Drosophila melanogaster: one gene and its partners. The protein of the gene in region 4 interacts with the protein of the main gene of each other region in a pairwise test. Each region holds a gene or a part of one and is shown on either strand. Other genes may lie near its edges.

Evidence for each region.
Region 1: the proteins of CG32086 (region 4) and CG4577 interact in a two-hybrid assay, tested with the Drosophila melanogaster proteins (one large-scale study listed by BioGRID).
Region 2: the proteins of CG32086 (region 4) and CG3610 interact in a two-hybrid assay, tested with the Drosophila melanogaster proteins (one large-scale study listed by BioGRID).
Region 3: the proteins of CG32086 (region 4) and Alas interact in a two-hybrid assay, tested with the Drosophila melanogaster proteins (one large-scale study listed by BioGRID).

Annotation. Positions count from the first base shown.
Region 1 is NT_033779.5:1,132,041-1,142,352, forward strand, and holds CG4577 (uncharacterized protein), read left to right. Parts: upstream 1-2,652; 5' UTR 2,653-2,818; coding exon 2,819-3,041; intron 3,042-6,580; coding exon 6,581-7,027; intron 7,028-7,083; coding exon 7,084-7,345; intron 7,346-7,442; coding exon 7,443-7,723; intron 7,724-7,788; coding exon 7,789-7,916; 3' UTR 7,917-9,116; downstream 9,117-10,312. Other genes in the region: iris, read right to left, coding at 438-2,033.
Region 2 is NT_033777.3:14,841,838-14,848,541, forward strand, and holds CG3610 (uncharacterized protein), read left to right. Parts: upstream 1-3,205; 5' UTR 3,206-3,369; coding exon 3,370-4,836; 3' UTR 4,837-4,900; downstream 4,901-6,704.
Region 3 is NT_033778.4:23,961,581-23,968,502, forward strand, and holds Alas (aminolevulinate synthase), read left to right. Parts: upstream 1-3,191; 5' UTR 3,192-3,304; coding exon 3,305-4,547; intron 4,548-4,691; coding exon 4,692-5,068; 3' UTR 5,069-5,177; downstream 5,178-6,922. Other genes in the region: CG13566 (uncharacterized protein), read right to left, coding at 75-367, 422-501, 566-759, 826-867; Fmo-1 (Flavin-containing monooxygenase 1), read left to right, coding at 1,480-1,667, 1,727-1,913, 1,966-2,137, 2,195-2,730, 2,795-2,962; CG34213 (uncharacterized protein), read right to left, coding at 5,589-5,882, 5,936-6,026, 6,078-6,112; or (orange), read left to right, coding at 6,440-6,508, 6,573-6,664, 6,726-6,922.
Region 4 is NT_037436.4:11,581,134-11,587,737, reverse strand, and holds CG32086 (uncharacterized protein), read left to right. Parts: upstream 1-3,673; 5' UTR 3,674-3,704; coding exon 3,705-4,228; intron 4,229-4,293; coding exon 4,294-4,470; intron 4,471-4,521; coding exon 4,522-5,296; 3' UTR 5,297-5,337; downstream 5,338-6,604. Other genes in the region: rt (rotated abdomen), read left to right, coding at 406-1,001, 1,233-1,795, 1,887-2,666, 2,726-3,447; CG33269 (uncharacterized protein), read left to right, coding at 5,622-5,888.

The DNA of each region.
Region 1 (10,312 bases), on a different chromosome or scaffold from region 4:
CAGAGACACAAAGTGCAATGCGCCGCTGCGAGCGGTGTAATAGTTTGTAATTGGCATTGTTTTCCTTGTATTAGCTGAAATAGTATAGTTCTTATTGTAAACGAAGCGCTGGCTGCAATTGTAACATAGTGCACTCGGTGCAGAGACCGGATTTGAAGAAAATAGTCGAACGTAGTCCCAGATCACATGGCCATCCCGAGCATGCCACGCCCCCGATCCCAATTTTCTAAATTTCTAAGTGCGAATAAGGAACCCTTACCGAAGCCCTGAGACTTACAACGTGTACATGATGAGAGTAACTAATATTTATTGCAATCAAACCAAACAAATAAAACTGTATTATAATCGACACAAAAAATTGTTAAAAAATCATAGCTCTCTTTGAAATTTCATCGGAACTTAACAGATGCACCACGCAGCCGCATCTTCTTTTTTTTTTAGATTTCATGTTTTTCCAGCAGCGGAAGATTGCAGGTTGTGGTGCGATTCTGTGGATCCTGGAGACCATTGACTTCGTTGACAAGATTTTGAGCCTGCGCAAGTTGTTTGCTCCGATGGGTGCGATATAACCAGGTCGCCGAAACAAGTAAGGCGACCAGCAATATGGCTGCGCACACAGCTACTACTACTACGACTACCATTGGGTAATCTCGGACTGCTTCCAGCTTTTTCTGATTCAGCTCCAGTTTGCCCACGATCGCCAGGAGTTGATTAAATGATTCCAAGGTCACGGATTCCTGGGAAGATTTTGGTTCCTTCTGCAGCGTTGCGTAACCTGCTTTCGAAGGAACTCTTTCCCGGACTTCTCCACGGAGGGCGACAGCTGGACTGCGCACGGCACAGTCGCTTTGAATGCTCAGGATTCCACTGCCATTCAATTGGAGCTCCTGCCTCTCACCGGAGCACACTCCTATTAAAGTTAGCTCATTGGTAAGGGCCACCATCCAGGAGTTTGGTGCCACCATCTCTGTCCACAGACTCTTCTCCTTCACTTGACGCAAGGTGCAGACTTCGGAAGACTGGTTCCGTATGGCCGCCAGGGAGCAGGCAAAACTGTCATCCCCAGTCCCGTAGATAATGCGGTTGCGCCTGCAGATGAACCTTTCTTCGCCCAACTTGATGCAGTCGTCCAAGCTCTGAAGCGGAAAATACCTGTCCATATGATCGTTGATGCCCAGATAAGGTGTTTCGGTGTCCACCAGTTGGATTACGCCATTGTTTAACCGTGGAATGGGCGTCAATCGGTAGATATTAAACTTCTCCGCATCGAGCAAGGGCACTGTGATTTGGAACTCCACGTGGTTGCCCCGCTGCCGAGGAACTACGGAGGCGAGAAGGTAAATATTCCGGATTGTATATCGGCCATCCAGATCTCCCAGAATTGGCGGCATCTTCGCTTGCAGCTGTTTCATTGAAAGGACAAGAGGACTAAGCTTTCCGTGGTGGGCAGAGATTATGGCTTCAGTTATGGCATTCTGGGCACTTTTTAGTCTGCTGCCCATAAGGTATAGATACGGCTTCATCATAATCAGGTTTTCAGGTTCATAAGCCTCGTGAAAGGGTTCTTGAAGTATCACATTTATAACATTAATGGAGCTGTCAATGCAGGATGTTCCCATCCCAAGCTCGATGGACACGTCGTCATCTCCCAAAGAAAGTCGTCCGGCCCTAAAGTCCAACGCTTTCTCCAAGTCAATTAGTCCATCGTGAAGAATACTATCCGCAAACTTGGTAATGTCCAGAATTTCTGGACAAAGATTCCTTTGGATATCGCACACATCGACCAAAGCCTTGTAGACACCATTGAACGCACGTATTGCCGTATAAAGCGACTCCAAGTTGAAGCTGGCACATAACTTCCAATCTCTGGAGGCTAGCGATGCCTGACCGCTGTACTCCACGAAGGTGCCCAGACTGTTGTTGAATCCCCGCATCGCCATCGGACCTCCGATCGCCTCCCGATCAACTGGGCTTCCATGGGAGAGCGCTATCAGCGAGGGGGCGAGGATGAATACCAAACTAATCGCTTTCATCTTTCGCTTGTAGAGGTGATCGTTGCCCAGAGTTCCGCGCTAAACTGAAGGTGAGCTCCTGAGAATCGGGTAGCAAGCGGTAGTGCATGTCCATATGTATGTTCAATTGCTGATATAGCAAAATGATCGGATCATTGTGCGCAATATAAATTTTTAAATATTTGCAAGTGAGGCAATTAGCCAGAATTAGCTTTCAAATAAATATAATATAAATATATAATATACAAATATAACATAAGCCATCCATATTTATTATACATTTTACACTAGTCAAGTGCATTGAGTACTAATATAGTGAATTTACATAACAACCAGTGTCATAGCGGCATAACCAGCACCACAGAGGCCCACCGATGCGACCTGGCAGTAACGCAGCTCTTTGCAGATCCGGCGCCGGCGCAGTAGAGGATTGGCTCGCTGCCTCGCCAGGCAAGTACGTAAGCAGGCTCCTCCGAGCTCCGCGGTCTTTATCAATGAGAGTGACGTAGGTTGTGTGCAGACCGGACGGGATTCGGTCGGCGAGTGGAGGAGTTGGGTGGCACTTTAATGTGGTCTGCAAGCCAACGGCCAACGGCACGGAATCGGGGCAATACGTTAAAAACTGTTGCACTGCGTCGCTGGGACGTCAGTTCATTCAGAACAGTCGAAGTGCGCAGACCACTGGGATCCAAACACCGGCAGAAACCAGGCCAGGAGTCGAAGTCGACCTCCCACCTCCAGCCAGATCCGAATCCTATTTGGGACACCACCAGCTAGAGCCAAGTCAAGTGCCGTTTGCCGTAAACATGCCACGCATCTCGTTGCCCGGCAGCAGCCTGCTGGTAGTCCTGGCACTGATCCTGTGCCTCAGCCTTCCAATCCGGGCGGTGCCCACCTCCGTGCTCGCCCAAGACACGGAGCTCTCCACCAGCGCCAACCACAAGCTCCAGCAGCAGCAGCAACAGCAGCAGCAGCATCACCAGCAGCAGCAGCTCCAGCAGCAGCAGCAGCAGCAACAGCCGGCCACAGGTAAGTGCCAAAGTTCAGTACAGGTGGAGCAGCAGCTCCGCCCACGCCCACTCTTAAGGCTAAAGGTCACTGGGAAAATGCGAGTTTTTGAAAAATGCCCGGCCCGAGAAGGCTGTGCCTCCAGCCTCCAGCTCGTCGTCTGCGTGGGTTGGCTGGCTGCTGGCTTTTGAGGGTCGGGCATCCGCTCGAGTGGCTCCATCTCGGAGCTCATCTCGTTTAGCATATTCCATTTCCCATTTACCGCTCGTCGTTCGCTGTTTCTGCCAGGAAATTGCGTAGGTGTTTTGCGCGAGGACGACAGCTGTCGTCCTTTTGAATGCCGCGCTCCATGAGCGATTTATAAATTTCCATCCTGCGGTTGTTTTTCTTGCACTGGCTTAGTGAATCATTACTGTGCCTGCACAGCGAGAAAACTACCAATGACTTTTCTGAGTAAGTGGGTAGCTATATGCACTCTTGAAAGAAAACTATCAAATAAAATAAGTTTTAAGTCTTTAAATTAAAGTTTCAACAAAAAAATGATTATATAAATTATATTAAATTATATACATATATATATAATAATCAAATTTCTGCCAAAATATTCACGAAACATATATACATATATCAAGCTGCGGCTTAAAGCACAATGTTGCCTTTTCTTTCAACAACTCTAAAGAAACATATGGTATTCTGTATATACAGCTCCACGATTTCTCCCAGTGCAGTTACACTGTTCATATATGTAGCTCAGCGCTCACCAACACAAGCACACGGGAACCTACAGCGCAGTTAAACATCGCGTAGGCGTTCGCCACACAAAATGGCGGCCAGCCTCCTTTGTGAGTGTGTGTGAGTACGTGTGTGCGTGTATGTGAGTGGGGGGGCCTCCATGCTGTTAAAGTGTGCGTACGTGCGCGCGATTTCATTTCTATTTTTAGAAAGCGAGTTAGGCGAAAGTTTTCAGCCCCTTTTGCGCCCCTTCCGCTCCTCCTGCACTTTCTGCTCGCCTGGCGCCGTTCGCCTAGCATCGCCTTACGCCATCGCCATCGCCATTCACCACATCTTGGGTGGCAAGTGCCACCCATTGCCGCCCCCACTTTCACCGCAGCATTGAGCCCTTAAGTAGGCAGCCAAGCTCAAGCTGTTAAGCCTTTCCGATCCATTCCGAGTATAAATACGCGTCCGTGTGTGCAACACGTTCGTTAGCGCTCCAAACCGCAGCAGCAACTAAGGCCAAAAGTAGCGGGGCTTTGGTCAGATGTCAGTTGCCAAAAGCCAGCGGCAACCACATCAAAATGTAAAGGGCAGGTGCCCAGAAAAGGGGAAGGAAGCATGTGATTGGGGTGGACAAGTTCAAATTTAAATTTTAACATTTCGCTGCATACTTTCAAATCTTTCAATGTTCTAATGTAAGTTTATAGATACAAAATTTGCCTTTGGGTAAGAAACAAATCTCTAGGGATTAGATGTTTTCGAGAGCGATAAGCTCTCCATCGCACATTTTTGTAGCATACTTCCAGGCAGCGCCACTAACAGATTTTTGCCCCAGCACAGTTCGCTCTAAATAGATTTATTATGCCCCAATGTGGGCGGAATGGCGCCCCCGCCCCTTTCTACGTGTTTACAGAGCCACATATGGCAACCTAATGACAAAGGCAAACAGGCTGTCGCCGCCAAGTGTCCAGCTGTCGGTAGTGCAAAGTGAAAACAGGGTCCACCCCACGGATTAATCCACGCAGCAGCAGTCAAGTGGGCGCATTAAATATTTATGAGAGCAGTGCCTGCTGACCCCTCGCCTTTTCCTTCCTTCGCCTGGCGATGAAGTAGTCAGGAGGGAAGGGTGAGCACTCCAGTTGGCACACCCAATCCCGAAACCACAGGCTCCCAGCGCATTTTCCTGCGCTTGACAAATTTTTCCATATGCTGCGGCTATTAAGTTATTTCTGTGCGGGGCCGAAAGAAACGCCCAAGGACTTGGCCGTGGCGTTAATTGTGTTCATGTTCGTGTCCACATTCCCATGTTCATGTCGCGCTGTCTGTGGTGGCCCGACTTTTCGAACAGCTGCTGGCCAAGAGCCACCCACCAGCCCCCAATCTCTGCGCATGTGTGTGTGTGTGTGTGTGTGTGGGGAGCAAACAACTTGTTGATACTTTTGCAGTTCAGTGAACAGCCTGGTAGAGTAGAGACCCAGGACGACGTCAGCCAACGTCAGAGCCTGCCAGCTTTCTACTCATTTATTTATTCAAGTACCCCACCCGAGGAGCACCCATCCGGGCTGATGGACATCCGTGAGCAGGACATTTGCCACACATAAATATAATTGAGGCGGTGGCGTGGGCGTCATGGAGGCGAAACATGAGCATTGTGGGCATTAAATGACTGCCAATACGGGGAAGCGTTTAGCCAGCGGGTTTCAGGAATTGTCGTCTGTCCCAAGGACTCTGGGGAATCGCAAACTGGGTTACGGGCGCTCCATAAAAGCGTATCCACATTCAGAGAATGTGGAATTTTACAGCTCGACTAGAGTTGCACCAGGGGACATACTGTTTCTCGGAAGGAACTTGTGTTTCCACGCAACATGTTAGTCATCACTTTGAAAGTAATCATATCAAAATAGCTTTAAGGTATCAAAATAATTCGTTTTTAGTTACGATAGTGGTGTCTAAAACTAAATAGTCACCTGCAAAGTAAGTTAAGTACACACTTCGAAACATTCATTTCCCATTCGATGCGAACCGCTAGTCATTTTATGGGAGCCCATTTCCTGATAGCCGGATATTATACCACCTGGCCCTTTCAATTGGCACACCCTAATAACACATTAATCATTGGGGTCGTATAAATCATGGCTATGCGGGTATCTACTCCATTCCACTCTATATGCGATATCTCAGTTCCAATAATCATGGAGATAAGCTATAGATACTGGTATAGATATTCGCAGAAACCTGCGAAATACCTCATACAAATCCACTGCGCAGGGGAGTTGAACGAGTTTGGCTGGTCCATCTGAACTCGGGATTGGATGGATGGGGCAGTTGAAATAACCGCATGCCCATGAGGAGGACTCATGTCAGGTGCTAACTGAATCCTAATTGGCGGCGGCCAGCGCTCAATTAAAGATATCAACCGATCCGAGATATTAAAGCCAATTCAGCCGTCCAATTAGCGAACCAACTGTTGCGCAAAGACCCTTTTTTTTCGATTGGATGCCAGTGGGGCGGCAATGCGATTAGGATTAATAAGGTCAGTCCTCCTCCTCTGGGTATTACATCGGGGATTAAGTGGACATAAAGCCGGCTGTCAGGGCGCTAAAAGCAATTAGCCCAGACCGAGAAATATGCTCGGGCGTATAAAACAATTATGGTACTCGTTCTGCGGACGGCGGCTAATTGGTTTTGCGGTCACTTCTCGGCTGTGGGGATGTTGGGAATTTATTGAATCAGCCCCGGGTAAATGGTAAATGGAAAGTGGGAAATGGCAAGTTGGAAATGGAAAATTCGAGTAGCCCGGACAGCAGCAGCCGGCGTTACCCATTCCCCATCTCGTTCACCAGCCAAACGCTCCGAGGAGGCGAGTGCCGTGCCCACGGCGGACAAGAAGTCGAGTCCGGAAATTGTGCCCGCTTCCTTTAGCAACGCTCCGTCGGCCCGAAACAGCCCAGTTCCGGTCTCCAGCCAGCAGCAGGAGCAGCAGCAGGTGCCGTCCGGAGTCTACGCCCTGCCCTCCAACGAGGAGATCCTGGCCGCCGTAGCGGCCGCCGCCCAGAACAGCCAACAGCAGTTGCAGGAGGAGCCCTCCGCCCTGGAGGAGGCGGTGGCCAGCTCCACGATGCGCAAGCGGGGCATCAATTACGAGTACAATCCGTACTCCGTCGCCTCCAGCGACTACGGCAGCGATGTGCCCAGTGGCGTTTGGTCCGACGACTACGAGGCCGCCGTTCCTGTCAGCTATGGCGAGCGGGATCTCCAGGAGATCGATGACTACGTGCCAGAGCGAAGAGGTGCGTCCAAGAGCGTGGCACATCCATTGCTAACTAACAAAAAACTTAAATTCCAGTGAGTAGCTCGAGTGCGCGAAACAAGGCCTACGACAATTTGCAGAATCTCCTGAACGCCGAGGCCTATCTGGAGAGCATTCCCCTCTCGGTGCCGCTGACCTATGCCAATCGGAACTACAACGTGGATGAGCGCAACAAGCGGGGTATCTACTACAACGTGGGCACTCCCGGCGGCAATGGGGCGAGCAGCCTGGGCAGTGGAAGTGGCTACAACGACGAGGGTATCAACCTCAACAAATATCGACGATTCAACGACATGCGGTGAGTTAGTAAAGCAACACGGCGTATGAGTGATATTTTACATACATAACAACTATTACTAAGGGGTAACCTTTTGTATTCTTTGCTCCAATCCCAGACTTAAACGCGACACCCAGCTCAATCCCGCCGACATGCTGGCCCTGGTTGCCCTGGTGGAGGCCGGAGAACGGGCGCGCAAGGAGAGCGATGCTGAGAGCTCCGGACCGGTGCCCATGATACCCTCCGATGACCTGGACTACGCGCCCGCCGGCAGCTGGTTCGACGTGCCCGTACAGGCGGACTACTACGGCGCCGGAGTGCCGCTGGACAACCAGAACCAGGCGATGCCCAAGTACGAGTACGTGCCGCGTCAGCACAAGTACAGCGGAGTCAATAGCCGTAAGTCCCGATTGGGTTGGCAGCAAGAGTCGGAGGTTCGTGTTCTATAACTTTCAATTATCCAGCAGGATTCGGCTCCTCGAAGCAGCGCTACATGGTGGCCAAGAAGAAGCGCTCGGTGAACCAGAGCCAATTCATGAACGAACCGGTGGCGGAGCGCGGATCCGGCTACAATGGCGAGAAGTACTTCTAAGGATCCCACGCGGAGATAGTCTACGTAGTACTTAATGATAGCCACAGGCCCCACGAAGAGTATTTCTCGTTTTTTTGAGCATTGAACATATTGAACATAATCCAAGAAACCAAAATCCAAATTCAATTTCTAATTCAATTATGATAAAGAGCTAGTGTCAAGGTCAACTCGTGTGCAATTTTTGTGTAGAATTTCACTTTCAAAAAACCCAATGGCGAGAATTAAACTATTGTTGCATGCAATGTGGTGCGTCAGGAGCATAATCAATCAGTGTCTAGGATTTTGTCCCACGGAATCCGCACCGAACTAAACCGAATCTATATCTACGCCACCTAATCCCTGTAAGAAATCGGTGTCTATGTACAACTACTGCAATCTGAAATCCAGCGGAACCGCAACTTGTATCTGTATCTACTTATCGAACTAGAGGCTTCCCGACTAGTACAAAACGAGAGAAGAACGTCAACTATGAATATGATTATATATAAAAATATGAATACATCTATACATGCATATATCAATCCTAATCGAGCTCAGAAGCGACAAAAGCTCCACTAACCGCTTTAATTTAATCTAAACTTATACTAACTAAAGCTAAAGCCAAAGCCAAGTATTTTGAATGCCATCACATTCCGAACTACACTTTTTATGTAACCCCGCCGACTTGGGGACAAACGATCTGACAATTGATGAGAATTTTAATCGTATTTAGCGAGTATCGCAGCTAATATGTTGGTAAATTATATATATATATATATAAATATACGTATACAATATGCAAACAATTTGTGGATAAATTTGTTAAGAAATGGCTCAGGGCATAAATATTTTAAATATTCTATGCCGACGACGAAGAGGCGTATTTTTAATTTGAATAAAATTGTCTGACTGTTTTCGGTAATAATCAAATATACATACATATGTGTACTATGAATATGGTAAAATAAATTATATTATACAGACTAAAATAAAATAGCGTATATATATATGTGTGTGTGTATACAATACAGATTATATATAACTATATATATGAACACTCAAGTAACCTTAATATTATATACTTTCCCTCTGAATATTTGGCCTTTGATTTACGCCTTAAGTTCTTTGCGTGAACTTAGTTTGAAGATACATTTATTTACAATCAACTGATTTACGATTAATAAATACGTCTTTGGTTTGAAAACCAATCAAAATTGGATGAACTGGGAGTTTTTTGACCTGAAAACCAATTGGCTGTGCTCAATGGCAGAAAATTCAATGAAAGTGGGTTGTTTTTTCCCACCCATATCGAATCTTAGAAATGTGTCAATTCAAAGCTTACATCAAGTTACAATTAGGGGAATTTGTATATTCAGCTGCGCAGTAACCGCCGCTCAATGAAAAAGTCATAAAAATCATTTTCCACTTCCACGCTCGGTTGCCAGCCGCCAACGAAAGTTTGAAAGGAAAGTTAACTAATTTGAAATTGGGAGACAATTCAATGAAGACCAATTAACAACAGCTAGACTTCTGGGGCCTCTCGAGCGAAGTGTGTGCCAAAAATTAAATAAAAACCAATTGGCCTTCGCACACGCGTTGACATCCATCGCCATTCGGATGGGTTTCATCATCAATGTTCCATGCGAAGCCACATTAAAGTGCTGCATGTCCGGTGAATGAGTGGAAAACTAGATAACCGTGAAGCAGCGCCATTGTGGCCACTGCAAATGGGGAAGCATGCTCTGCTCCGGACGCCAGATGAGATCCAACTTTGTCCAAACTTAGCTCGAAATGGCCATAAACAATTGAATAGAATGGCCGTAAACAGTAAGCCAAATAAACAAAACATTGGGCTCCAGATACACAAATGCGTTTGACACAAGGGGCTCTGTTTTTTTTTTTTATATTATTATTCTAATGACTACGGCATGCACATCATAGCAGTTATCAATGTGCTGCAATCTAACCTGCATTGAATGCAAGTTGCATGGACACTTTATACTAAATTCAGACTAAGTTACAAAGTGTTATGCCTTTTGTATGCCAAATTGTTGCCATATGGCGGGGAATCTAAATAAGCATTAATATGTATGGAGTGTGTGCAGGAGCATTGGAGCCTGAAGATTCTGGCAGGGATTCGAGGTGGCCATTTGCATATCTCATCAGCAAATGACCAGGAAGATAAACAAGCTGGGCAACGAGGCCAGGAGCAGTCTTTAATGAATACGTTTAAAGTTAATTTATTATGAATATGAATATAACTAATGTTAACTGCTCACGGGAATGGCAAGCATTTGTTTTAGAGATTCCCCCACGGGCAGCACGATTTCGCACCTCTCATCATGAGATCAATCTGCTGCAGATGTTTTGAGTTTGGCGTTAATTAGGCAGCCAAATAGGGAATTCACTTCGATTCA
Region 2 (6,704 bases), on a different chromosome or scaffold from region 4:
TCGATTAAGTGTGTAAGCATCGAGACTTTGATATCGATGAAATGCTTCTCTACCCATCCTCGCATATCATCCGCCCCTCCGAAACCCACTTGTTTGTATCGCTGTTTTGGGTTTGACTGATTGCCTCCGTTGGCCTTTTTGCGCCCCAGTCTGGTTTCTGGCCACCGCCGCAGTCAGCCCGCGCATAATTATGTAACTCAATTTGTTGGCAGGCCCGGGCAAAAAGGCCATTATTTATAAACACAATTTAATTAAAATTCATTCTGTGTCTTGAACCAGAAACATCCATAGAAGCATAACGTTAGCATACAAAGCACACAACAATTTATGAATCGGAGGATTGCCTTCTCCTGGTTTAAGAAGTAACAAGATTTAACAATAAATGAGGTGCTCTGGAATATCTGCTGACCTGCATAATGATTTTGTTCCTTAACAAATCTATCATCGGGCTACCAATAAGCTAAATGTATTTGATAGATTTGTTTAAGTGTTTTCCTAGTCTTCGTAGACAAATTATTTTCTGAATTTTCAATTTATTCATGGTTCCTTTTATGGAATTAATAGATAGATATTTTTTATTCATTGAATAGACGAAACATCTGTGCAAAAAATTTCCATTTCAACTTCCTAATAAGAATTTTCCTGCTTTGTAAGAAGCTCCAAAACATGAAACTATGAGTAGCAAATAAATTCCTGAAAGGCAAATTGATATTTTCATTTTCAATAAAACATAAACGCGACCTCAGGTCGTGCCCCAAGTGAACCGTCTGTTTGTTTGTATGGAAATTATATGAAAATTGCACTTGAAACTTTGTCTTGAGCTGTCTGCCACTTGCAGTTGAAAGTTTTTCCGTATTGCTGCCGTCCTGCATCTTTTTTCCGGAAATTATTGATAGTCCCGTCTAAAGTTACGAAGAAATTTCAATATTAAATGGATTCAAAGTTAAAGTGTATAAATAAAATAAAATCATCTGCACAAATCCAGCAGTCAAGTGCCTTCGAACTAGCCACGGGGGCCAAAGGGTCAAGGGGATAAAGTTTCGTTCATGTGGTTGCCCAGTGGAATACAAGAAACCCTATATGACCACTATATATGCACGGTACATGGCGATTCAAGCACTTTGCCATTGTGTACATTCCTCACTTGTCCGACATTCCAGGTCAACAAATAGCGAAAGGCTTGCCTTCGCTTGAAAAGGGTTCCCTAAATCAGTAGATATCAAAGGATGTTACAGGTGAAATAATATCTCGACACTACTTCTAACCTAACGTAGGTAGTATGTAGCTTGATTTAAAATCTAAATAAAACCCTACCCTCTCCTTTTTTTTAAGCATTTACATTCGAGACACATAAATGTTAAATACCAATGAAAAGCCCCGCGAAAAGTTCGTTGAACCAGACATGGCAAGTTTCTCTCCGAAGATGGTTTGATTAATTGACGATGACCTGGCTAAAGACTTAATGCCGAACTTCCGTGCGAGTGGCAGATATACTTATTATATCAATTAAGGTAAGCAACAATGCTTTCTATTGTCCCCCCCAGTCCAGCGATTCTGCTGTCTCATAGGGTCGGACCGCCACTTTCCATCATCCATCCAACTTAATGTGCAATAATGAGTGTCATGTAATGCCAGACGCGTTCGATTCGAATTGCCAACCAACCAACAAACAAACAAAACTGAACTCAACTCAAACAGCAGCTGCATTGGCGGCTAAAGGAAAATAAAAGAGAAAAACCCAATGCAGCATTAGCAACGACAACAAATTAACATTTTTCAAAACTTTAAAGCCCCGACATGCGTTGACACTTTCGGGGAAAATTGCGTACAATTTCAAATGCAGGCACAAAACTTTACGCGTAATTACGACACTGGGGAAAACAGGAGGAAAATATAAATGGCAATAAGGGGGGGGGGGGGGGCACAAAAAAAAAACAAATAAATAAAACAAACCGCTGGCAAATCGCGTTCGCTGCGCCGTTGACAGTTGTAAAATGGAAAGGTTATCCGGACCCTGGTCGGCAAAAACCATGGACAGCCAACAAATGCGTCGAGGAAAGTGCCTTCGGAAGCTGCAGCTGCTACTGGAGCTACTCATGTCCCATTCCCCATGCCCCCCCGCCACGAACTCAATCCCCTCCTGCCACAGAGACTCCGCCAATGAGCTTCTGTCGTGGACAGTGACTGATGGTCTGGGAGAGCTCCGCTCTTTTCTGCCTCCAATGATTACGATGATGATGAAGACGGCGATGACAGGGCAGCATTTAACCAGCGCTCAGCAGTTAGATAACTATATATAAATTATGGAAGCCAGACGATAAAAATCCTCGACAGATCGCTCTAGAACGTCTACCATAGTTTATAATTCTAAATATACGTATGTTGAAAATGTTTGATTGCAATTGTGAACAAATTATAATTGGTTTTATCTTATTTTCCAATATACTCAGTATTCTGTAAATAATTGACTTTTATTTAAATACCTTTTTAGCTCAATAGCTGTTTTAAATTCAGGAGAAATATTATTTCTATTGAGTGCAATGCATTCGAGCTCAGAAACTCAATCGTTTAGCTCGGTTGTGATTTTCCATACAAATTCGTATGCAAATTCAAAGGTATATATAGCCAATAGTCGGGGCAACAACGCGCTCGCAAGGGAAGCACTTGAGCCTTACTTTGATGCACATATCCCCATTAAGTTGGCCCCCGTCGAGCTTGTGGCTCCCAATGCGGCCATGCAGTAGGTGAGAGAGAGAGAGAGATCTCTTGGCCTCTTGGCCCAGAACCCACTCAAATATGCTAATCCACTGGAAGTCCACACAGACCTCCACAGACAGCCCACAGTAGAGTGCATGTTTCTGAGCTTCAGGAAAAGTAGTTGCATAAAGCTACAATGCCTTTCCAGAATCTCACAGAGGAAGTAATTTGAAATTACGGAAGGACAGGCTTTCAATTACGGTAAGCTAACTTACCGATATAAAGGGAACATTCTGTAATCGTGGGCAATTGACAGATTCTGTCAATGACAGAAAATCAAGAAAAGTGGCTTTATATTCGCAGCTTAAAAATATTAGCCAGCTCTTATCTGTTTCACTTAATTCTTCATAACATACTTGTAATTTGAATTAACCTGAATATTATTTTCTAAACTTATTTATCCAGCTGAAAACTGTCGTTTTTTAATATCTGAAAATTTTCTAGCAGTCTTCAGTTAGTCAGTAGATTTCGTTAGGTTACTAGCACAAAAAAAAAACATTTTGAGTGAACTAATACCACTCAAAACGCCTTGACATATCACATATTTCATTCCCAGTTAAATTTTCCTAAGTAATTTCTTTAAAAGGAAGTGGTTTGTTTTCTTGAACCACGATGGAAAATCTCCAACCGGAGTCGGATCGCGTTGGCCATATTGTCTGGGATGAACCGGGAGCCTCGATTTTTGCCACCGCCTCCCAGGAGCCCGTACCGAATCTTCTGACCGAGTTCAAACCAATGCCGAAGGGCGAGGACGACTGTGTTTCTGATAAGGATGTGTGCCGCATTCTTACACAGTCGTCTGTCGCGGAGAGCTCATTGTTCCGAATGGTCAAACACCAGGTGGACGAAGTGGCCGCCATGCTCAACAGTCACCTGCATCCGCGCCAACGGAAGGAGCAAACCGATGTGGATGTCACCCTCGGTGTAGCAAGGGAACTGGCTCGCCAGCAGGTGGAGGCCAGTAGATGCCTTCAACTTCATCGCAATGTGGAAAATTTGAGGGATCTCGAGATGGAAGTGGCCCGTGCCCACACAGCGTTGGCTGTCAAGAACAAGATCACCAACAATATCAAACAAACGGTGGAAGATAAGCAGCGGGAGCGGGCCGAAGCTTTGGCGGAACAGCGAGCCGTGGAAAAGGAGCTGAAGGAGGAGAAGCAAAGAAGGGCTCAGAAGGCAGCCGTGTTTCGTAGAGATCTAATGGCCCAGATTACCGAGGGGCGTACCAAGCGGATACAAGATCATCGAATAGCTGTGGCCGAGGGTCGTCAAGAGCTAAAGGAATGCAAGGAGATAGTGGAGCAGGGAATCCTAAAGGATGCAGTTACAAAGGCGCAGCAGCGCAAGGTGCTCCTCGAATCCCTAGACCAATCGGCAGCCATGTTGAAGCAAACCCGCGAGGCCTACGCTCTGGCCCAAAAGAATAAGCCCGAGAGAGGACTCCTTGATGCCCTGGGACCCGTTACGGCGGCCTATGTGTCAAAGGCACGGAAACGACGCCTTGATGAGATCGAGGCCAGGGACATTAATGCCGCTCGGCTGGGCTTCCAGCTCAGCCAGATCAAGCACGATCTGGAGTCCCGAGATCAAGTCATCACCAGTCTGCTAATCCGCGAGCACAAGGCCAAGGAGAACGCGAAGGCCTTGGAACAGGCTAGAACCAAAATGGCCAAGAAGCAGGAGATTCGCGAACAGCTCCTCAGCCAGCGGGAAGAGCAGAAGTTCTTCCGAGATAAGGGTGTGCAGGATGCCCTGGTCATGCCCAAGGATCCCATGTGCTTCGGCGAACGACAGTATCGAATGCAAGTGGCCCAGCGGGAGAACACCCGGCGCTTGGATGTCCAATGCTACCAGGACATGGCCCACATGGTCGTGGAGGCCAAGAATAACAGGAAAGCCGCTGCCCAGGAGGTGGTTGACATTGTACAGGAGGTCTACAACCAACAGAATCGCCAGGATGAGCTTGTGGCTATTGAGCGGATGAAGCTGCTCTCCAAGCAGCCACCTGAAGTTCTTTCAGCGCTCAAGAAATCCATTCTCACCGAAGAGGAGATCAAGTCTTTAAACCTTAAGAAGTAGTTAATGAGTTTTCATTTAATACGCGCTAGATGCCCGTATTAAGGCTTGTAGAAACAAAAAATACAAAAAAGTACTTTTTGTTTTTTTCTTCGGGTTATTATTAAACCTACGCCCCCCTGGATGTTGGCTATTATTTATCAAGTATACTACCTCATGTGAAGCAGCCCACTGGCACAGGATGTGCTTAATTTTCCATTTTGCTGCTCTGCACTTTTAAATAGACTTTGCTGGCGCTGCCGGGATGGCAAATGAAATTCACTTTCTTATCCATTCTTTGGCCAAGCTTTTGCAGCAGGTCAGGTTTCCAGGTTTCGTACTCGAGCAACCGGTTTACCGACATTGCAGCTGGAAATTTGTTTACAATAATACGGTTCGAACGCACGCAGATGGGAGCGTAAGTGCACTTTGAAACCGGGCTTACATACATTTCCTTTACTTTCCATTTCTGGACTCATTAGCCGGCTGCCGGAGGAGACAGGTTTATATTTCATAACTGGCTGGCGAAGAAGGCTCAAGAATGTTGGCAAAGTCAGTTTTTTGGCAACCATTTTGGAGCACTCTCTTGACGACCTGCGGAAACTTTCCCTGGCAATAACTTTGGCTCCAAGTTTCAGCTTCAATGTGCAGAAAAAAAGATATATTTATGCTTTCAGTACACTGTAAACTATCGAAAGAAACTCTTTTTGGGTGCTGCGAGCTCAACTAGTTCTATAAACTGTAGTCATACTATTAAAATGAAACATGCTAGTTGTACTAACCAGGAAATTAGGGAAATTCTTGTTAGATCAATGCTTGGTTTCTTTCAGTGCAGACTTATAGAAGCGACCAGCACAATCACAACCCAGTTTCTGTTTCAACTTAAGTCTGCTGAATGGTGTGAGGTTGTTTTGTCTTTTCGACTCTGGTCTGGTCATAGAGGAGCAGCTTGGTTGGCAAACTTTTTATGCCGAAACTTTTTTTTTGGGCCAGATCTTCAAGTTGGCCAAAAAGATGTGAAGTTGTGTGCACAGGCGTGTCTGCAGCTCTTCCACCTGGAAGAGCGTTACTGGCTCTAATAGGAGTTGAGTCGTCGTGTGGCTGCAAATGTGTTTGCATTGCTATGAAATTGGAAACGAGATCTGCAAAAGTTGAGTAATTGAGCTGATTCTGCTTCGTTGGTCACTCGAATCGAAGAACCTTTCCTCCAACGTATTCATGCCACAACAATCATCTGGGGGCCCCATTTTCAAGCCAACCCAGAAAGGGGGAACATTGAGAGAAAATGGGTTGGTAAATAAAGCCTAGGCCAATAAACATTTTATACATTAAATTAAATTATTAATTTTAAGCTACACCTCATCATTCTGGGTTATCCTAATATGCTGCCTTGACATGAGAGTTGCACTGATCTTCCCTTAATTATTGTGACTAAAATTGTAATATAGAATATGCATTTATTTATTATTTATGACTTTTTCCTCTCTGCAGAGGCAGACCAAAAAAGGGAACAATGAAAGACAGGCTCTGAGACATTGAATGCGAGTCGGAGAACAAAGCAATAAAAGGCCCGAGAAGTGGGTTGTTGTTAGCTGTTTGCTTGCCATGCTGGGAATGGAAAATGGAAATGCTAAGGAAAATGAAGGAAATGCAATGTCGTTAACATGGCTCGTAGGTTTGGCTTGCTAGCTCGGTTGGCTGGCGGGTGGAAATAAGTCAGGTTGGCAGCCAGTATACGCATATGCTTGACACGGAAAATGCAGTGGCATTGCATACTAATGTGCCCAATGCCGAAAGACAAACGGGGGAAATAGATGCTCATAAAAATTACTTTTGGTGGTTATAAAATGCCATCAGCCACTTCCATTTAAAAGCGGACTCTTGATCTAAAA
Region 3 (6,922 bases), on a different chromosome or scaffold from region 4:
CTACATTCGATGTTACGGCAATAAAGGTAACGCAGATGCAGATACATATGTATCTCGAGCTCTTTCACTTGGGTCTACAAGTCGGTGCGTAGATAGTTCCTGCTGCTTTCGTTCACGATGTGAGTGCGGGGCATCATGTTGCAGCAGCTCATCTTCGGTTCCTGCGAAAGATTGTACACCTTGAGGGCCACTGTTTCCTTCGACTGGTCTGTTTGGACGGTGGAGTCCCTCAGCTTCAGCAGGTTCTTGAAGAACATCAGGTCCAGGGCGAACAGAGCGGCGCAGATGAAGCAAAGTGCTCCCAATGCATAGGCAAATATCAGCAGATCTTCGGACAGCTGCTCCACCGTGAAGAATATCAGTAGTCCTGGAGGAGAGAGTTCATCACTCTGACATTACTGCATCCCAGGAGCCATATTACCCTCTATGGTGAAGAACAGAACGCCACAGGTCAACAGAATTATCTCACAGGTGCCATAGTTTGAGGTGCCCTCGATGATCCTAAGAGGAGATGGTCTTAGCATATCATATATATATATGTCATAGTCACTGGGTGGTTAGTTACCTCGTGAGCAGCAGCACAGCTGCAATGAAGGTATAGCCCACGAAGGTCAGCGTGCCGAAGTCATCGCCCTCCTTCGACCAGGAGATGCTGTTGAGGAGGGTCCACTCCCTGGACTGCTTCTTGTTGATGGCGAACACCCGTTCCGAGTGCTTGTCCGACAATCGCTTTACAATCAGGGCCGCCACCGTGGCAATCTAATGGGGATGTATCTCTATCATTCAAGGTAACTCAAAGTCTCCTTCTAACTCGAAGATACTCGCCAGTTGGAGAACTTTGGTGCAGATGCAAGCTGGTAGCCCCATGTTAGACGATCTTGACGTGCACTTTGCTACTGCGGCACGTACGTTCCGAATCCGCCTGACCCATGCAAATTTTCTCACATTCAATTTCGCAGTTTAGCGTGGGAAAAGACGAACTCAAAGAAGTTGGCCTCATGGCCCATAGTCCATAATAGCCCAAAACCTTGAACTGCTCAACGAATCGAGCACATCTGAGCATCTGTGGGCAATTGCTGTGCCGCCTATGCTTCCTATCGGCAGTGTAAATATTAATATAATAAATATATATGTTTATATGCCCCATAAACAAAAGGCGAGACAAAAGCAGAGGCTTTATGCTCTTTCTTATCAGCGCGATTACAAAAAACAAGCACAGCGATTCATACGGATTGCGAATGCAAGATACTCTCATTAGACTTGCATAATTTTACTACTTAAAGGCCTCAGCGAACCTCTCAATGAAGTCCAAGTACCCAACTTTTGCAGGGCTATCAGGCGGGGAAGCCAAAGAGCTCATCACGGTGCGATCCTCAGTTTCGTGGAGGCAATCGGCGTGTAGAAAGCAATCCCGGCCTATCTCACTTAGGATCGCAGCTAGCAATTAAAATTAATATAAGCTGTAACCAATACTGTAATATGATGAGCGTTTGCATAATTGGGGCCGGAACCGCGGGTCTTTGCTGTGCCCGCCATTCGATTGCAAATGGGTTCGAGACCACTGTGTTCGAGCTATCTGACCGAATCGGCGGCACCTGGGTTTACAATGAGGCAACAGGGGCGGTCAATGGCATCGATGTCCACAGCAGCATGTACAAGAACCTACGGTACGTAAATCTTTCGAAAAACCATTTGATATTCTAAGAGTTTCCGGGCCTCTTCAAAGAACCAACCTGCCCAAGGAGGTAATGGGCTTCCCGGACTTCGAAATCGGGGCAAACGAGGCTTCCTATGTGAGATCCGACGAGATCTGCGACTTCCTTAACCAATACGCGAACCATTTCGACCTGAAGAAGCACATCAAGTTCGATAGCTATGTGATTCGAGTTTTGCAGAGGAAAACAAAGTGGCAAGTAAGTCGTGGAGTCAGCTTTATATATAACCACTTAACTGAAACGTTTGCAGGTACTTTTCAAAGACTTGGTCACCAACAAGATAGAGTTCCAGTACTTCGACAAGGTCTTGGTGGCCAATGGCCACTACCACACTCCGAATTATAGCCAAATTCCGAATATGGAAAGGTTTAAAGGGCAGTTCCTGCACAGCCACGACTTCAGAAGTAGGGAGGTTTTCGAAGGTAATTAAGGAATAACTTCTATTAGGTTATTTCACATGGTGTTCCATTCTGCTCAAGGTAAATCCGTTCTGGTCATTGGAGCTGGTCCCAGTGGCATGGACCTGTCGAACATCATTTCCCGAACGGCGGATCGGGTCACCATAAGTCACCACTTGACCGATATCGGGCAACACTCATTCTTCGAGAACGTACAGCAGAAACCCGATGTGCGGGAGCTCGATGAGAAGGGAGCCTTTTTCGTGGACGGATCGTACCAGGAGTTCGACACCGTCTTCTTTTGCACAGGTTACAAGTACGCCTTTCCCTTCCTGACCGTCGACTCGGGCATCTATGTGGAGGACAACTACGTCCAGGAGCTGTACAAGCAGTGCATCAACATCAGGAACCCATCCATGGCTCTGATCGGACTGCCGTTTTACGTTTGTGCCGCCCAAATGATGGACATCCAAGCGAGGTTCATCATGAGCTACTACAACGGATCCAACGAGTTGCCGTCCACGGAGGATATGCTCAAGGACACCCGCGATAGGATGGGCAAACTGTGGGCGGAGGGACTAAGAAAACGCCATGCCCACATGCTGGGTCCCAAGCAAGTGCGATGCAAGTTGGCTTTACTTCTCTATCTGGTTATTAATTCTATTCTCATTTATTATCAAGATCGACTATTTCACGGACTTGTCGCAAACTGCAGGAGTTAAGAACATCAAGCCTGTGATGACCAAATTGCACAACGAAAGCAGCAAGTGCTTCAATGAGAATTTGCTCCACTTCCGGGAGGACAATTTCGCGATTCTGGACGACGAGACATTCATTAAACTCAACTAGATCCTGAATCAATCAATAGGAGCATTAGATTCCAAAACATCGTTTTTGGACTTCCCTTCGAAATAAAATAAATTTCCAATTCTTGTATTCCAAAACAACAGTTTAAAAAATGAGCTTTTATTCTCGAACAAAAACTTTTTGAACACCGGCAAACATTTGTTTGAACATGTTTGTTGGTATTTTTCCAAACAGCTGATTGCGGGCAGCGCACATTCACCAGCTCTGGCCACACTCGCCCGCCTCCTCGCAATCACCTTCTTGCATAATTTTCGGAACACCTCACTTCGCTTTCAAAGTTCGCTGATTTAGGTCGGGTCTTCAAAAGTGGAATAGCGCCTCGTCATGCAGTGTCCGTTCTTGAACCGCTTCACCGCCAGCTTCATCCGCAACTACGCGGAGACGCTGTGCCAATCCTACGGGAGCCACTGTCCCGTGGTTGGGAAGACCTTGGTATCCGGCGAGAAGAAACTTTCACTCGTCGCCGCAAGTGTTACAAGGTCTCACTCGACGGGGGCGAACGCCCACGCCAATGCTGGTGGCCCCGCAACTGCCAACGCCACCGCTCCCGTCTCCGCCCCCGCCTCTGCCGATCCTGGCAAGGCATCCGCCAAGGAGACCTTTCCCTACGAGCGCTTCTTCAACGAGCAGATCATGAAGAAGAAGCGGGACCATTCCTACAGGGTCTTCAAGAAGGTGAACCGCCTGGCAGGCGACGGGCTTTTCCCCCACGCCCTGGAGTACTCGGAGCGGACGGAAAAGCCCATTACGGTGTGGTGCTCCAATGACTACCTGGGAATGTCCGCCCACCCCGGCGTCAAGAGGGCCGTCCAGGACGCGCTCAATAGGCACGGATCGGGGGCTGGCGGCACCAGGAACATTTCGGGTAACTCTCTTCACCACGAGCGCCTCGAGAGTAAGCTGGCTGAGCTCCACCAGAAGGAGGCTGCGCTGCTGTTCACGTCGTGCTTCGTGGCCAACGATTCCACTCTCTTTACGCTCGCCAAGCTCTTACCTGGGTGCGAGATCTTCTCGGACGCAGGGAACCACGCTTCCATGATTATGGGCATACGGAACAGCGGGGTTCCCAAGCACATCTTCCGGCACAACGACGTGGACCACTTGCATCAGCTGCTGAAGCAGACGGACAAAAGCGTGCCCAAGATCGTCGCATTCGAGACGGTACATTCCATGACGGGGGCCATCTGCCCGCTCGAGGAGCTGCTTGACGTGGCCCACGAGCACGGGGCCATCACGTTCATCGACGAGGTGCACGCCGTGGGATTGTACGGTGACCACGGGGCCGGGGTCGGTGAGCGGGATGGTGTGCTGCACAAAATGGACATCATATCGGGCACCCTGGGCAAGGCGTTCGGTAATATTGGTGGCTACATAGCTGGCACCCATAACCTGGTCGACATGATTCGGTCGTATGCGGCCGGTTTCATCTTCACCACCTCACTACCGCCGACTGTACTGTGTGGCGCCCTGGAGGCCGTCAATATCCTGGCATCGGAGGAGGGTCGCCAGCTGCGCCACTTGCACCAACGGAACGTCTCCTACCTGAAGAGCCTGCTGAAGCGAGAAGGTAAGACGTAATTCTGGCATTTATGTAACTCGAATTGAAGGTTATTCTCGCACTTTCGTTTTATTTTAAGTGATGGCTATAAATATAGAAAGAGACACTTAACTTTCAGTTTACTGACTGCATATATAATTGGCCCCATTTCAGGTTTCCCCGTCGAAGAAACGCCCAGCCACATCATTCCCATTAAGATCGGAGACCCTCTGAAGAGCAGTCAAATCTCAAACGTGCTGATCGAACAATTCGGACACTACCTGCAGTCGATTAACTACCCAACCGTCGCCCGGGGCCAGGAGAAATTGCGGCTGGCCCCCACCCCGTTCCACACTTTTGAAATGATGAACGCCCTGGTTACCGATCTAAAGAAAGTGTGGGAAATGGTGGACCTCTCTACAAACGTCCCTCTTTCGCCCAACGCATGCATGTTCTGCAACTCGGAGAGCTGCTGGCACCAGGACACCTCCCCGGATCTGGAGTGTGGCATTCCCAACTGCCCTCGCCTGGAGATCTCGCTTGCAGCATAGTTGCCTCTTGGAAACACGACTATAAATGAAGCATTCGAATCATAAAGCTATGCCTAAATTATCTGTGCGGTTTTGGACAAATAAACAATGGTTTTGGTGCAATATACATAAATGACGAAATTTCAATTGGAATGGGCTAAGCTGATTGATGACGCTTCTATATGGGGTGATAAGACATGGACTAGAGTGTCACCTTCGCTATGAAGTTGCGTGTTTTTCGAGCCAGCTCCATGCAAATGATATTCAAATTGGGGAATCGCGTGGAAATATTTTCATTGAACCTTGATCCACACTCGTAAGCACTTAAAGGGCTTACCTAGTTTGAAATATTTATATGAAATTAGTCGCATATCAATTTCAGCAGTGGCAGGCTGAATCAGCACAATTATTGCTGATAACCATGACCATCCTATTACGGACCAATGTTTTTGATAATACCACAATAGATAATGATCCGATTTTATACACTTTGATTAGAGAAGATTTTGTACACATTTAGTAAGATCTATTGGGTCAGAGACTAGCCGAACAGCTGGAGATCGTAAACAATGATTCTACCAAATAGATCGGTGCTGGACTCGAAGACGAACTTTAGCTTTGAGCAGGGGTTTTCCCGGACTGATTCCGCAATCTGAAAAAGCTGTGGGGAGTTGATATCTTCTGGGTAGAATGGCTCTTGGTGAACTTGGGCTCCGTCAGCGGAGTACATGATCAGTTCGGATTTTTGGCCAGAGAATCCGCCTTGGAACTGGAAACTAAATCCAGCTACTTTCTGTGGCTCCTCCAAGCTAATGGTAATGAATTGGGGGGTTCCCTGAAATGGCCGTTTGGAGTTATATTCTTTTTTTCCAAATCTTAGGATGATACCTCATCTGAATTCCAAGAAGTTTCTTCCCGCGTATCAAACATGAATTGCTTTCCGTGCTGCTTCACATCTCTGTTTAAAACCGAGCTCACCCTGCAAACTATACGTTAACTAAAGGGAGTTACAAAATAAAACCCAGAGTACCTGCAGCTGTATTTTACTTTTGTCAAAATATTCATAATTCAATAAAAATAAGAAATAAACAAATCGGAGACCGCGAGGTTAAAGGCATTAGAGATGGGCAACAATCAGAAATCCATAGAATTTTTTTTTGTACGGATTTTTAACACCCGATTTAAGAAATTGCTTTAAAAAATATATTTTCCCTAACTTTCTAAAATATGCATGATTCTTATTAGATTTTTGAAATAAATACGTCAGATAAAGATATATCGATATTATAGATGCTATACCAAGTATTGATTTTGCAGCCCTCGTCGAAAAAGCAAAACAGCTGGCAGTTTAAACATTTTCATTTTTTTTGTTGACTTATCTTAGAAGTTGAGATGATAAAAGCCATTCTCGTTTTTAACAATCACGGGAAGCCGCGGCTATCGAAGTTCTATCAGTATTTCGTAAGTACTGCGACATATAATCCATATAATCTAGTTCATAATAAATTGTCACTATCATTTGTAGGATGAAAGCCTGCAGCAACAAATAATCAAAGAGACTTTCCAATTGGTGTCCAAGCGGGACGATAATGTTTGCAACTTTCTGGAGGGCGGAAGGTGAGCAATATTGTTCCCGCAAATTCCTGGAATATCTTAAAGCACCTCTTTCCTCCAACAGTTTGATTGGCGGATCGGATTACAAACTCATCTACAGACACTATGCCACGCTGTACTTCGTTTTCTGCGTGGACTCCTCGGAGAGCGAACTGGGAATCCTGGACCTGATTCAGGTGTTCGTGGAAACCCTCGACAAGTGCTTCGAAAACGTGTGTGAGCTGGACCTGATATTCCACGCCGATGCCGTCCACCACATCC
Region 4 (6,604 bases):
TGCGATTTTAGCCGAGAAGTGGTCGGCCGGGAAAAGATAGTTATTTTACTTCCGTGAGAGTGTGTTTGTGGGAATAATTCGGCATCGAAACTTTCTTCAACAGCTGGCCATCGTTTGTATGTAAATGCAAATCGACCAAGAAGGCTGCAAGGCGAAGAGCCAGCGAGACAAGTGGAGTGTAGAAAGTGCAAAACCAGTTTTTTTGTTAGCAGGAAAACGTGGCAAAATAAAAAATTTACATAACAAAAAGTGAAACAACTAATCGCTGGTTTGATTATCTCATGTTTAACGAATGCTAATTGATCAGTGAAAGTGGGTAAGAAAAACAATGCGAGGAAGAAATGCCCGCTAAATTCCGCAAAGCAAATCGCACCTTAAAAAAATAACAAAAACTACGAAGCCGTTATGTCTGCCACCTACACCAATACAATTACACAGCGCCGCAAGACGGCCAAAGTGAGGCAGCAACAACAACACCAATGGACAGGCAGCGATTTGAGCGGCGAGTCAAACGAAAGACTTCACTTTCGCAGCCGTTCAACAAACTCGATGCAACAACACACAGCAATCAGCAACTCACCTTCACCACTGTGCTGTAACGGCGCTCGTGCTTTAACAATGCTCAATTGCTGCGTCGACGTCAACTGTCATTTGAATGCGCCGCTCCGCGGCAGCGTTAACCGGCACACGACGCCAACGCCGACCCCGACTGCGACGCCAACGCCGGTAGCGACGCCAAAACAAGCCTCCCCCTCGCCTACCTCCGATCGTTCGCGCTCCCTCTCACGCTCGCCTTCGCCGTCTCGGTCTCGCTCGCTCTCCTGCCAAAAACAAATCGACAAGAACAGCGCTGGCGCAGCATCCGCAGAAGAGAGAAAAACCGCTAATGCGAGTTCGCAGCCATTTACCGTTAACCTGAGAATCGATCTCTTCAGTTGGACACTCTTTCTCTTGGCCTTCGGCACGCGTTTTTACAAGCTGGCAACGCCGCCGCACATCGTGTGAGTAGAAAAACAATAACAAACCTGCAAATGGGGTCACCGCTGAATGAAAAAAATACACACATAACAATGTCTTAGATTTTTTGTTTATTAATTTAATCTGCGAGAGCAGAGTCTTACATTTAAGTTCATTGCATTACATTTAAGTCTTGCATTTATAGCTCAAATGATTTATGCCTATGTCTTTATAATATTTTCAAGATTCATAGTAAAATACTTCCTACCCAACAGATTCGATGAACTCCACTACGGCAAGTACATTTCCATGTACATGCGAAACATTTTCTTCTTCGATCAACATCCACCGCTGGGCAAACAGCTGATCGCCGGACTGGTCAGCCTGGCTGGTTACGATGGCAATTACACCTTTACCCGCATTGGAGAGCCCTATTCCCCGGAAATGCCCATCTTCTGGTTCCGATTTCTACCAGCCATGTGCGGCAGTCTACTGGCCCCCGCCGTTTACAATCTTTTGCTGGAGGCGAAGCTCAGTCGCTGGTCATCCGCTTTGGGTGGCCTGCTTGTGGTCCTGGACAACTCATTGCTGACGCAATCCCGTTTTGTTCTGATGGAATCAATGCTTCTGCTGGCCACCACGGTGGGCATCGCCTGTTTGCTACGCTTCCAACGAAGTCGCCTGGGCAGCCTGGAATGGTTCTTTACTGGAACGGCAGCTGCCGTCTGTTTGGGAGCCGCCGGAACCGTCAAGTACGTCGGATTCTTGGCACTGGGGCTAGCCTTTTATTTGCTGTGTCGACACCTGTGGCAACTGCTCTACGACGCCGGTCTCACCGGTAAGATACCTTTTTTTCTGAGATTTACAAATACGATTTACGATATAATAATAGAGATTGAATAAATCAAAATAAAACCATTTTTTTCAAGATCGCCAGCTATGGATGCATGCCATAAGTCGCCTGTTAATCTTTGTTGGAATTCCATTGGCGGTCTACTTGGGAGTCTTCTATATCCACTTCAAGACGCTGCACCGGGCTGGACCGCATGATAGCATCATGACTAGCGCGTTTCAGGCCTCGTTAGATGGAGGATTGGCATCGATCACAAAAGGACAGCCATTGGCAGTGGTTCATGGATCCCAAATCACACTACGACACACCCACGGACGCACCTGTTGGCTGCACTCGCATGCAGCTGTCTATCCGGTGCGGTATCCGGACAAGAGAGGCTCCTCCCACCAGCAGCAGGTCACCTGCTACTCCTTCAAGGATGTGAACAACTGGTGGCTGGTTAAGCGACCAACAAAGGAGAACCTGGTGGTGGGTGATGAGCCGGATATCATTCGGCACGGTGAAATTATTCAGTTGGTCCATGGAATTACGAGCCGAGCTCTGAACTCACACGATGTGGCTGCGGCAATGACGCCGCAGTGCCAAGAAGTCAGCTGCTACATAGATTACGAGATCAAAATGGCCGGTGAACTGTTGTGGCGCGTGGAGATTCTGAATCGCGATTCCGAAGGTGACATTTGGCATGCCATCAAGTCGGAGGTCCGCCTCGTTCACGTGTCCACAGAAGCCTCCTTGAAGTTCAGTGGGCGCCAACTTCCCGAATGGGGTTTCAATCAGCACGAGGTGGTGGCGGATCGTGAAAAGGCAATACATGAGGATGCCATTTGGAATGTTGAGGAGCACCGCTATACACAGAGTAAGTCCTCTTCGAGATACTTGAAGAAATACGTTATCCTCATTTACAACCCTTTATAGCTGAGGATCATCGGGAGCGAGAGCGCCAGATGCTAACTGCCGAGATGATACCCACAAAGCGGACGCGCATCTCGTTCTGGGCCAAGCTACTGGAGCTACAATCCAAGATGCTGTTCCAAACGAAGTCAGTGCCAAATCACATGTACAGCTCGATGCCGCACGAGTGGCCGCTAATGGACAAGGGCATCGCTTATTGGTTGGACTCACAGTCGAGTGCGCAGATCTATTTGCTGGGAAACATACTACTCTGGTACACAGCCACCATGGGAATACTTGTCTATGCCGGATTACTCGCCTTCTACGCGATGCGGCGGCAACGTCTTTGCTTTGATATTTCGGAGCAAGAGTGGCAGCGATTCGTATTAGCTGGTGACACCTTTTTTATGGGCTACGTGATGCACTATATTCCGTATTTTTGTGTGGATCGTACACTCTTCCTGCACAATTACTTGCCAGCCTTTGTGTTTAAGTTACTTTTATTGTGCTTTGTCGTGGAGCATTTGGACTATCTGCTCAGGCGCTTCTGCACCGGACGTGGTGTCCATCTGGTGCGCCTTTATCGCCTCATGCTAATCCTGTGGCTGGTGGGCGTGCTTAGCATTTTCTCAAAGTTTATACCATTCAGTTATGGTGCGAGAAAAATGACTTTAAATGAGGTTCGCAGTCTTCGATGGAAGGATACCTGGGACTTTGTCCTGCACAAGAACCACCACCTGTACTGAAAAAACAGATGCCATCTCCGCGGCCAGAGAGAGACGTGCAATGATGTACTAGTACCATGTACAATAGACTAGACGACTAGCTAAAGTTGAACTAATACTAAGCCATAAATTATTTGACATGTAAACATACTCATTTACAAGACCAATAAATACAATTATTTATTTATTTAAGATGTTCTGCTTTATCACTCAGTAATATGTATAAGCACTCTGAAAACACTTGAACCCACACTATATACATAAATACACTCATAAACATGGCCAATAAGGGACACTTTATAGACAGAAATGCAAATATACCGACTGCAGGATTGTCCACCAGTGGATTAGATGGAGCGGAAGGTGTAAAAGTTTGTCTTAGTATTAGCAATCCAGAAGAATTGGCTGAGAGTCTAGTTAGGCGCAATTACGGGCAGATCAATAAAAAATCCCAGAAGTTCCCAGCCGGTTCCGTTCAACCCAGCAGCAGCATCCGGGATTTGCTCACCAGCGAGTTGCAAAAGTCGCGCTTTATGTCCTTCAAGGAGAAGTTCTACGAGGAAATGTACTTCAAAAAGGCCACTTTGGGTGGGGTCAAGAAAACGTACTCCAAACCGGAAGACGTGACCAATATAAGCCAAACCTTCGGAAGTCCATCGAGTCAATCACAAAATGAATGTCTCTACGACGTCATATTGCCGGCCAAGTCGGCGGAGCAAGTTAATAAGGAGTACGAGGCTTTCCACGACAAGTACATCATCAGCCACAATCACTACTTTCCTTCGGAGCAGGTTAACCGCAGGTCAAGCTATTGGTCACTACAAATGCAATGGTGCATATTTAATGAACGTCTTAAATATTTTTTAGATATGCCCAACCATTTGATCGAAAATCACCTTGTGGAGATATACATACTCACGGCGATTTTGGACTGAAAGTGAAGCGATGTCTGGAGGAAGGTGAGAACCACCTGAAGGTTATTGGCAAGGCGCAAGTGGACTTTATGGATCGAAACGAGGCACCCCTCGGAATGCGAAACAAAAAGTAAGTATAGATAGATATAGATTTTGATTAATAGTTTTAGACTGTCTGTAGGTACACTTTTGCGGTGCCCGACATAACTTTCGGTGTTCCTCTGCGCAGCAATGGCGATGTGAAGATGCTGCTAAATAATATTGAACCCTGCTACAAAACCAACCGGCTACTAGATGCCATACGCTATTTGAACAAAAAACGTCATAGTTTGAGGAACCAGCTGGAATTTCACAAGTACGCACTAAATTCAGTGCTGGAGAGGAGTGACACGGATGGAACGGGTCACTTGCCACTGGCACGCATCTTGGAAATTTTCAGAAGTTTTCACATCCGTCTGGATGCGCAAAAAATCCGTCTGGCCTTGTCCAATTTTCGGCTGATTGTGGACGAGGGCTGTGCCACGGAGCGGGTGAATTATGTAGATTTCTTTCGACTTCTCTCGATTCAGAATTCTCTGCCGAAAACGGGAAACTTGACCAATGTATCCGATGTTAGTTGTCTGGACACCACATATCGTTTGCTCTGCGCCGATCTTCAAAACAAGTCAAAGGATAATACGGGAGCAATTAGCCAGAATCTCGAAGGGAATAAAACAACTGCCAAGGATCTTATAACACCGGATTTGGCCATTTTACGTGGCCTTACTCACAGTGATTTCACCTGTTTGCGGCCCAAAGCGGAAATCGAACGTATCTTTAGAAGTCTCGTAACAACTGATAAATTCGAAGCTATTTGGCAGAGTCTAATGACTAAGTTCAAGGACCAAAATGAAATGGCATCCGTCACGCAGTTTCGTACTGAAATGCACAACAAAATAGAGGCCATATCTACATAATACTTAGACAATTTACCATGACAAACAAATATATAATAAACAAAAATAAACTATAGCATAAGTTTGGGCTGTCATTTGTGTGAAGCAAATATTTGCTACAGCATTAAACTTTCAAAGCTGGTGTCTTACGACCAAATATTTAAATTTCTGTGATCAGTTAGGAAATCAAATTAATACTAGTTTTCTAAATCCGGAAATTACTGGAGAACTATAAATGGGGTGACTTCAACATCAGTTGATCACAACAGCCCTTCGCCGCTTTTAAGCCAAGTCTAATATCAATTGCTTTGCCAGCTAACCAACATAACCAACAATAACATCAAAGATGAAATACCTGTTCGTGGTTGCCCTTATTGCCCTGGCCATCCAGGTGGCTTCATCTTCTAGTAATACAACAACAACTGATGCCACCACCACAACAACAACCACCACTGCAGCATCGACCACAACAACAACAACGGCCGCTTCCACTCACAAAAAGCTTTGTTGGAGGGGCAACAACTGGTGCCACACCCGCATTCCCAAGCGGAAGTGCAAGAACCCAAAGAGGTGCCACAAGACCATCGTGATTGTGACCCACAGGAAAAATTAAGCTGCACTAGTAGTTTTTGAAATAAAGAAATTCTTTTTAAAAGAATTTTGCCTAATATTTTCATTTTATCTATAAAATTATTTTAAGTAGTATTTGTACCCTTAACTCATAACGCATAGTAAATGGGTATGCAATGTGTGTTTAAAAGTAGGTAACACTTAAAAAGTTTTCGATCCTATTGTATTGTACACATATGCCTTATCAGAATATATAGCCGATTTAGTCTATCGGTCGCCAATTTTCTAAAGAAATAGTTTCATCGCCTTTAAATTGCAAAAAATTGCCTTTACATATATTTTCGGAATAAAAACATTCTACTTCATTTTCCACTAGACACTTGTGCAAGCTAAACTCTGAGTAATAGGTATCTGATAGTCGAGGAATTGGACTTCAGCTGTTTCTCTTATTTTATTATGAATTTAAAGAATAATAAATAAAAAGAATAATAAATAATCGTTTTAAATAGAAGCAACATCACAGAAGTTTCTATTTTTCCAGGCAATACTCAATTCTTAAAAGTCCATTAAATTATTTATTATCTAAACTGAATTTGAAACATTTTAATGCATCTGAATTACCACTTCTACTCACTTCATTTTTAGGTTACTTTAATGTGTAAAACAGCTGTTTTACTATAATTGGAACTTTAATAGATAAATAAATATTATACCAACTTAAGAGACTTCCTATCTTAATAAGGAAATCATTTTAAACTG